Linked DNA regions of Drosophila melanogaster. The gene in region 1 interacts genetically with each later gene. Each region holds a gene or a part of one and is shown on either strand. Other genes may lie near its edges. The genes, in order: Trpm and S6k.

The links.
Region 2: of Trpm (region 1) and S6k, changing one suppresses a phenotype caused by changing the other (phenotypic suppression), as found in Drosophila melanogaster (one study listed by BioGRID).

Annotation. Positions count from the first base shown.
Region 1 is NT_033778.4:15,306,233-15,311,271, forward strand, and holds the start of Trpm (transient receptor potential cation channel, subfamily M), read right to left. Parts: upstream 3,137-5,039; 5' UTR 2,964-3,136; intron 2,766-2,963; exon of another isoform or gene 2,610-2,765; intron 1,067-2,609; 5' UTR 646-1,066; intron 1-645. Other genes in the region: CG8152 (uncharacterized protein), read right to left, coding at 3,808-4,818. UniProt on the Drosophila melanogaster protein: Calcium channel mediating constitutive calcium ion entry.
Region 2 is NT_037436.4:5,807,745-5,812,821, reverse strand, and holds the start of S6k (ribosomal protein S6 kinase), read left to right. Parts: upstream 1-1,890; 5' UTR 1,891-2,421; coding exon 2,422-2,532; intron 2,533-4,833; coding exon 4,834-4,874; intron 4,875-5,077. Other genes in the region: mad2, read left to right, coding at 1-107, 169-572; kri (krishah), read right to left, coding at 747-757, 904-1,436, 1,502-1,743.

The DNA.
Region 1 (5,039 bases):
ACGCAAAGCTCTTTATCCCTTTAAGCCACAACACATTTGCGAGCTTGCCAACAAACTTCAGGCCTAATTTTTGTTAATTTTTTGCCTTTCGTCCTGCCACTGACACACTCACAGCCAGAGGCGTCGCTTGAGGGGATGGAGATTTTGGGCAACAATTTATGCCGAAAGTTTTCGCAAATTGCTCATTTCAAGCACCGTTTGGTATGCAACACCTTCGCGATATTAGAAAATTCCTGCAGGTGAGAGATTTATGCCAACCATCGTCCTGCCAATTACACACACTCGTACATCTCAACAATATTTGCATTCCACTTGGAAATCTTAAAGATAGAAAAATTGTGCGCCTATTTAGGAATTTAAAGCGCTTAGATATTTTAACCTTCAAAGGTACATGCAACGCAGTAAGACAATTAAATAATTACAAATAATTTCCATGACTAATCTTTATATTATTAGATTTAAACCGATATTAAGTATTAAAATGGAATGAAAATCATTAATTTATTTACTATCTAATGTCCCATAATTTTCACTCCATATTTAAACTTTTTTCTTTAAATTGATTCGGTGTGAATAGGATATGCTTTTGCACAAACGCTCACTAAAGTCCTGCAAAGTAATTTGCATTTATCTCGACGGTCTTACCTGGGAAAACACTTAGTAGAGTCGGAAAACGCGGCCAGATGGAAAACGCTGGAGCAGAAATACTTGTCTCTCCGTATACTTGATGCTGAATGAGGGAAAATGCGGATGCTGCTGTTGTTGGTGCTGTTGCTCTGGGGGCTCCTGAATATTGGATCAAGCATGCTTAAATTTGTTTTTCAAGTTCATGCGTTTTGTATTGCTCATTTCGATATTGTTGTTTATAATTGTTGTAATTGCTTTAATGGTTATTATGTCGGTCTCCGCAAAATTTTGTTGGCTGGGTATTGCGTAAACAATCGAAGGGTATACGCGATGAATTTCAGGTGTTTGGCAATTAGGAATTTTCACATAATATAATATCCGAGTGTTTGTTTAGTTCGTTTGATTGCAATTCACTTTAACTACTACCAGATATTTGGCTCTAGTTAGGGGGCAAAAAGCCAAATGGAAATTAAAGGGCCCTCAAAAAGCCGAGCTACTCTTCCCCAGAATGGAAAAATGGACTACTTATGCCATTGGCATTGCCATTGCGCTCAGGCAATGACCCGGAAGTTTTGGCATTTCATTTATCTCATTTCTGTGCTCTTCGGGCCGCCTCTCTTGGTTTATTTTACAATAATAAACATTTAGCATTTTCATTTCGGCTCTTGTGCATTTGTTTGGTTTACGATTTTAAAGATTTACGAGATTTTTTTCCACCCAAGCACTGAAGTAAATGGGATTCGCTTGGCCTTGTGCTGCTCATTCAGTTGAACTTCTACACAGAACCTCCAATTGTTATTATACTGGCTGGATTATTGTGATAAAACTAAGAAAAACAGTGTAGTTTTGTCAAAAAAATATTAAAGTCTCAGCTTTTTAATAACTAAAACATTTGCATATTTATTATGTAAACAATATTTCAGTTCTACGAAAAACATAATGGCAACTATTGAATATATTTGATGACTCTCAGCCCATTTTACTTTTGAATAGTGTAAATTTTGCAAGCATATAATACATTCGCAGCATTCCAGGGAATCGTTGAGATAATAAAAATATTCTATTCCGTTTTTTCTGGTTTCTTTCGCCCCACCCTCGCCTCACTTGACTGGTTATAGCATTGTGTTGTCTAAATAATAGAATCGAATGGGGTTAATGGGAAAGAAATGCCGTGTAAGGTCCGGTCCAGAGGCGGGACAATATTAGAGGGGAACTTTTTTTTAAATATACTACCCCCCATGTAGATCATGTATGAAATCAAAGAAGTCAATGGTGTCATTGAAATCGGTTCCTTCCAAGCCTTACATTTTCACTGTCACAAAAACTGTTTATAGTAAATCATGTATAAGATCTGAAATCCAAAAGAAATAGTTTCTGTTGCACCAAAGGGATAATCTTTATCCCAAAACTTGAATTATTTTACAGTTTATGGATAATAGCTTGCTATATCTCTTAAGCAGTACAAAAGTTAATGCCTCAATGGATTGATTTTTTTTTAAGGGTACTACTCTCCCCAAGATTCACGATTTAGATCCGCCCCTGGTAGACCCCAACAACAAAGCAAGTTCATGAGGGGGCCCTGATCGAAGGGGAGAGAGGTGGGGGTTGGAAAAATCGAGGGGATGCTGGCAATGTCGATCAATGAGCGAGAGGGCACCACATAAAGAGAAAGAGAGAGCGGAGCGGAGAGAACCGAATTATATGTACATTGTTCAATGCAAAACTAAACAAATCACCAAAATAAATGCTACGAAAATAAACCATAAAGCCCACTGAACATCAGAGCGCATATTAAACAATATAGTTTTTCTATTCCTGCAGAGTCCGTGGGAGTAAATGTGTTACGGCGATGACTTTGTAAGCGTTTTGTTATCACACACGATGCAATCACATGGCCACCCTATTTAGTTTAATTATTCAAAAATAATTGCACTTCTTGCCAGCTCTGCGTAATTTGAAACTGCGCGTTTTTTGGGGTTTACCGGGGAACGGGATACGGCTCACACGAATCACAAAAAAACACTGGTACACACACGATAACGGTTAAGCAGCAAAACGTCGACACAATTGTTAATTATTTTAAAAAATATTTAAATGCGCCAAGCGAACCGCACATGTTGGAGAACCAACAACAAATTGGAGCGACGCTCCGCCGCAAAAACGCTGTCACACACAAACACATACACACTCAGACCAATCAGCTGTTCTTGTTGATCGGCCGCCAGGGTTGCCACCGCATCAAAATTCGGAATTCAATCATTTGAATCTAGAAATTACTTTGCCGTCGAGCAACGGTTTTCCAGACACTTTAATGCTTCACTTTTTTAGCTGTTTACCTAAGGGAAACGACTGCTGTTGGTGACCTTGTGGGCGCACTCCCACTTTTTCACTTTTAATTGCCGAGCATGCGAGTAGAACTTTAAAACACGCACTGCTTACTTAGTTTTATTGCACTCCGCGGTATAAAAAGACGGGAACGACCTCACGGTACAACAGTCCGAATACGACTGAGCGCAGGAATTCGGAGAAGTTCCTTATATACCGTTTTCACTATTTTCTCTCTCAGAAATATTCCAATGTTCCAATTGGAAGTTTCGCAAATGTAAATTAACAGTCCAATGTTAAAAATTAACAGCTGTTGCAAACATAAAGCACTTTCCATCGGTTGTTTCTGTTTTTAGTGCTTACAAAAATAAATATATTTTCAATCACAAGGCCTAAATCCATCACATTTAAAATTAATAGTCATTCTTCAGGTGTGTACTATGTGTTTTTACTAATATGTTGCTTAATTTGTGCGTATAAACCTAACAATTTGTGTATTTAGCAAGTGATTCCCTCGTCCAACTTTCGAAACAAAATTTCAACTTTAAATAGAGTTTCAAAAAATTGTTTAAATTTTTAAGTAAGTGTGCTAGTCCATGTTGTTGTACTCAATAATTTCATATATAATTTATAATATAATTTGGGTACGGCTGAACATCAGTTGTTTTATTGGGTACCTCTTAAGAAGGAATAACTAATATTGTATTCCTTCTAATGAGAAATTTATAAATCTACTATTCATAAATCACCATTATTAATAATTAAATTTATTATTTTGCTCTTAAAAAACATCTTAGGCTGGCTCCATTTATAATTTATAGTACAATTCTTGTTAGCTTTCTCTGTAAGCCATCTTTAACTTAGTACCCTGCGGAGGTACCGTTCTCGCTTCCATTCGCGCACCTTTTCCCTCTGCATATCGCTTCGCGTCCTTCTCGGCTGATATATGGGATCCCTTCTCCTAACAGCGTTTAAATCGAAGGCACCAAAGTGGGAGACCCTTGCCGACTGCTGTTCAATTCCCAGTCCAGTGCGTTGCTTTCGAAGAACAGTCTTGACGGGATACAATCGCCCACTTTGACTCGGTCCCAATCCGTGCTCCTGGTCCCAGCCCTGTTTCACCATCAGCTGGAGTCCTCGATTTTTGGCAGATATGTTAAATTTGTGGAGCTTATGAGCGGGCAGAGCCTTTAGATTGAACTGATGCACTGTGGATGTTTGATGAATTGGCCAGGGGGTTTCTTTGTAGTCCCTCTTACAGATTTCACAGTAAAAGGGGTTGTTGCCATCAACTGACTCATCCTCTTCGCTAGTTTCCTCTAAAATGGGTAGGGATTCCAAAAGATGAACTACATCTAAGTGACCTTTTCGTTGGGCCAGTTTCAGAGCTGTGTTTCCGGATTTGTCTGAGGTCTCTACTTGGACCCCTCTCTGCACGAGCCAACTCACTGCCTCCGTGGCTCCTTCACAGGCAGCCATCATCAAGGCAGTCCAGCCAAAGGAATCCCGAGAATTTAAATCCTCTTCTGAGGCCTTCATTTGAGACAGCTCCTCTACTTTGTTGCTAGTGGCCAAACGGAAAAATTTGCTTTTGTCGAAGGGGACTAGGATCCTTTCTGGCTCTCTTCTTGTTTGTGCAGTTTTGTGGGTACTTGGAAGGTTAGGTTGGCAGGTTGTGGGCGCATCCAACACCTCCTTGTAGAACTCACGAGCTTCTGCTCCGTTTAAGCCATCGATTTGGTGCTTTACTGCTTTCGGGGACTCGGCGATAAAATCCGGATCTCCTGCTCGGACGAATCGCTTCAGTTGGAGTGGCAATGTTGTTAGAGCCAGCCAATTTGGATGCAATTCGTTTTGAGAATTCATTTTTGACAATAATGATGCTAACTCGTTTTGTAAATAAACATTTCGCAGATGTGCGTCAGAGCTGCGTAGTGCTCAAAAATATCGTTTGGAGATAAGTCGATAGCCAAACTAATCGAATATAGAGATGGTGATTTTAGGAGATAAAAAATGAATGACACTGTTGAAATTATTTAGTCAACACTGTCGGTCAAAAATCTATTAATACCGCTCTATGTGAAGTT
Region 2 (5,077 bases), on another chromosome or scaffold:
CCCAGCCGAAGACTTTAACAACACGCAGCAGTATGGGCTAACCATTCTAATGTCCAAGGATCCCAAGATCAAGACCTTTCTGCAGAACGTGCTCAGCCAAACTGAAGGTTAGTGGTCTTTTGGAAAAAATTCAAGTTTATGGTGACCATTATTTGTATTCACCTATAGAATGGCTCTCGAAGAACATGATCAACAAGATCTCGATGGTCATTACGAACGCCCACACCAAGGAGGTGCTCGAGTGCTGGGACTTTAATATGCAGGCCGAGTTGGGCGATGGCGATATCAGTGATCCCACCAAGGCAACAACCACCAAGGAGCTGAGTCGCATACAGAACGAGATTCGCGACGTTATGCGGCAGATCTCGGCCACCGTGAGCTATTTGCCACTGCTCGATTGCATCTGCACCTTCGACATAATGATTCACACGCTGCAGAACACCGAATTACCGGCCAAATGGGACGAAACGGGTGCCATTGTCATACAGAATCCGCAGGCCGTCCAGCTGCGCTCCTTTTCTACAGGACTGCACAAGGTGGACACCGTGGTCAACTACAAGATGAGCACTTAAAAGGCAGTACCGCCTCATCCTAATGTTTAAATATTTATTTCGTTTCTATATTTACAATAGTGCGTAACGAACGTAACGTATTTGAGAGTTGCATTAAAAGCCAGTTGTGAAAAGCTAACAGTTGCTAAGTAGTAGTTTGGTTGGCCGCAGGGGTCGTCTATTTGTCTGTGTGTCTCAAATGCAATCTGGAGGACGAAACAGAGTGAGAGAGGGTAGCATTTGTTAGTGGAGCGCAACGCAGGAAAGGGCGTTTGTCTGGGCGACAGCTACCTATCCTAAGCAGCGCTTAGTCGTCAAGTCTGCGAGATAGACCCAAGTATCTAGTCTGTACCGAAGTATTTCTGGCCAAAGTGATTAGGTGCCACGGGATGCAGCTCGGAGGTGAGGATCTTCAGCTTGGGGAAGGCATTCACTACGGTCCGAGCGGCAATGGGTGTGCAGAAGAGATTGGACAGGATGATGCAGCTCTCGGGTACGCCGTGTTCCCGCAGCACATTCACCGCCTGCAGCACAGTGTTGCCCGTGGACATGATGGGGTACATGAGTAGCACCTGCCTGCTGCCGATGTCATCGGGAAAGCGGGCATAAACCACGCGGGCCTCATGCGTATTGGCATCGGACTCGACCAGGATCTTTCCAATGCGAATGGAGCGACAGCAGTCACGCAGTCCCTGCTCCATGGCCTCTCCCGATCGGATGATGGACACGCCGCAGTTGCCGGAGCGATACTTCAGTCCCTCGTAAATCGCACCGGTGGGCGTCTCCACATCGCAATGGGTGTAGGGCAGTTGGTTGAGCGACTCCTCGATGACCAGCCGGATGAGACGGTCGGCATAGAACTTGAAGTCACTGCGCGTGGTGTTCCTGGGGGGTAGAATTTTGTTGTACTGCTACTACGCTGCTGACTCCTCCTCCCCAACGTCACCTACTTGTCGCGCAATATGGTCAGCAGTTCGGCCACCTGGGAATTGCACTCGAGTAGCTTCAGGTTGCTGCCGTACTCCGCCAGGATCTCCTCCGATGTGGCAGCTGGCACCGCGGCATGTGCATGCGTGGGAGTGTGCAGCTGTTGCTCCTGCTCCTGGGCTTCCTGCTGCGGCTGCTGGTGATCTGAGGAACTGCTGCCCTCCTCCGACTGGGAGCCGCTGCTGCTGGGCGAGCCGGTGCGCATGACTCGGCTATTTGGTTGCTATCACTGGCTACATAAAATAAATAAATTAAAAGAATTGTACGTAGCACTTTGTCCTCCTAGCGCGTGCTTGGCTTGCTACGGCCACACTTTGTCGCGGCATTGCCGTTCGTTGCGCCTCGGTAATTTCTAGCAATTGGCAGTTAGCGCACGACTGGCCACACTCAGCAAATCACCTCGTGTTTCACTCGCAAACAAAGAAAAAAGTGCATTTTAATTACTGATTACTGCATTGCGATTAGGCGTTCGCGAACAACAACGTTTTCTTGCACATCAGCGGACTCAAAGGGCGCGCGTGGGCAAGGCATTGAGCACAGTGTCTGTGTGCGTGAGTGTGGGTGCGTTGTGCGTGCGTCGCAGTGTTGGTGCGTGTGCCCCCATGTGTGTGTGTATTTGTATTGCCATTAACTAATAAACAATAACCTTCGGGCCACGACGAAAGCCACGAAATCGGCACCGCTGCTGTTCTGTTCTGTACTGTTCCATCTGAACCAACCAGCTGAACAAGGAGACTCATAGCCAGAGACTAAAATAAATCGCCAACGCGCTTCCGCCCCCCCGCGAGAGGAGCGCCCAGTTCAGGAGCGGACCAGCGGCGATCCACTTCCCATATCCATATCCAAACAGAATCGCACTCGCCCAAACACACACACGCACGCAATGGCGGACGTGAGCGATCCCAGCGAACTGTTCGACCTGGAGCTGCACGACCTGGAACTGCAGGACGACAAGGCCAGGGACTCCGACGACGACAGGATCGAGCTGGACGATGTAAGATATAGCCCCCATTCCATGCCATCCCGTGCCAATGCGTGCCGCACCATCCCCCGATGCAAACTGCGCAGCAACAATTTCCCTCTTTGTTTACCTTTTCTGCGCTTTGTCTGCCAGTTTTCCTTTCGCTCGTCTGGGCATCCCGATTCCACACCCCCGAACCAGCATATCCACCAGCCGCACACCCTGCAAACTGGGCTTATCTGCTGCGCAAATGTCTGGCGTCATTCGGTTTCAGTCCAGTCGCCGATTATTCAGCGCATGTACATGCGCTCACTCATTGTACCATAAGTTCGACTCGATCAGAGAAAACCTCCTTACGAAACCACCTTCGATTGATATGGGCCAATCGAAGCCAGTGGTGGTGTCCTTCAAACTAATCAGCCCCAATTGCCCGCCACACTCCATGGCAGCCCCCTGCTTGCCACCGCCCCTGTCTCAGCTGATAATGCAACAACTGCAAAGGTGGTGTGCGAAGGAGAGGGAGGCCCAAAATGAACGCCGACTCGCTCGCACTCTCGCAAGTGTCTTAGCTTCCACTTAGAAAACGAAATTCCTTATCAGCGTGCCATATAAAATTAGAAAATGAGAAAAACCTCCACGCGCCGATAAGGGAGCACAACAAAATGGAAGGAAAAAGGGCAGGCAGGCAGGCAGGCGATTGAGATCGAAATCGAGCGATCGTCGAGCCAAACCGTCGTGTTTGGGGTGGTGGTGCTATACGGAACCAGTTGTAACTGCACCACAGTACACTGGAAAAGAATATTAGTTTCCATAGTATGTAGTCATTAAGTACCGAATTACTGATTACTAATTGTGCTAATGAGCGGTTCTTAAATTGATAAGTTTGTATTTAAACGCTTAAATTACTTCCCGTATTCAATACTAGTCGCAATAAATGCATTTTGGCTAAAGCAAGTTGCTAAAACTCTTAATTCGAATATTAAAAGTTCTAAATTGGCCTGAAATATATGTAATTTAGCAACAATGTGTGTACATATGCCGTCATCTTATGATGTCAATTGATTTATTTTTAGACAAATTGTGTAAAGTAATGGCTTAAAAGTACGAAAATAATCTACTAAAAAGGGAGAGAATAGCTCTTGGGTAATTATCATTTTTCTTTGTGTATTATTGGTTTTGTCTGCCCGGGGGAATTACATAGCTGGAGAAACCTTTTCGGTGTTGATAAGAACCTATCACTACCATATCGCACACCTTTTCCAAGACCTGTCGATTTACTTGATTTACGCAAGCGCGCACACCCCCTCCCTCCGCCCATCCACTGACTTTGTATGAACGCTATAAATTATGATGGATTTGTTAATTGAAATTCACCGCCAACGCTGACGAGGTGAACCAGTTTTTAATGTGCTGCGCGACGAGATGTCGAGATGCGGATTCCTATTCCGATGCCGCCATTCAATTGAACTTTAGTCAAAAATGTTCTATACAAATTTTAGGCATGACGAGAACGACGACGGCGGCTGCGGCTGCTGCTGATTCTTCTGAATCTGCCGCCCCTAACTGTGGCCTTCCTCCGATTGGAGCAGCCGCGTCCGAGGGGGCGGCAAATGGACCCGGAGGGGACGAGGAACAGCGCCAGCATCGCCGGCAGATTATTTGGCATTGTTCCGAGTTCTAAATTTAGTTTGTCATTAAGCGAAAGGTGTGTGTGCGTGTGCGGAAAGTGTACGAATGTACATCTGTGTGGATGCCACGCTCTTTCTCTCTGTGTAAATACCGAATAAGCTCCGTGTGGAGTAGTGGACAAATCGAAGGGTGGTGGAGAAACTCACTGGCTTCACATACTCCAAAGACGGATGCCATCCGAGATCCCAGAGCGAGCCCCTACTACTACTCCGATGCGATCTCTCCATTCATCGGAATCTCCCGCTGCTTAAAACGAAACTGAAAAGTGGGGCAGCACCGAATGGGGATTAAGCATGCAACAAGAAAAATAAAATATAACGATATACGATTTCCCATTTTAGAACTGATTCTTGAGCTATTTTTATTACTAAAAAAGCATATTAAAATTGTGGGCTACTAGCTTTAAGCAACCCACATATATATTACTGCTGGTATAGGCTGATTTTGAAGTATCTGTAAGATTTAGGGCCTCTTGTCTTCGTCGATGCCCGGTGCTGTGTAACTTTCCCTTCTGCTGTTTGCTCCCAAGTTCGCAATAACTATGATTAATTGTTGATTTTTTCGCATGTATACCGCTGGCAGTTATGCTCGCAAGTAGACGCCATCTCACTCACACGCCTCTCCGTCTCTCTTTCGCATTTGCAGGTTGACCTAGAACCGGAATTGTGTATTAATCTGCACCAAGAGTGAGTAATGCCAGTGCTATGCCGCCACATCGGAGGACGTGACTGTGACGTGACTTTCTGAGAATGCGGGGTAGATAGGGACCCAGATACGATCGGACTTCCTCTCCAGCCAGCTGAGCAGCAGTTAAATGAACAGCCAAATTGCCAATTATCAGCTCAGACTTGTTTACACACTGCAAACGATGGCAGTGATAGCATATGAT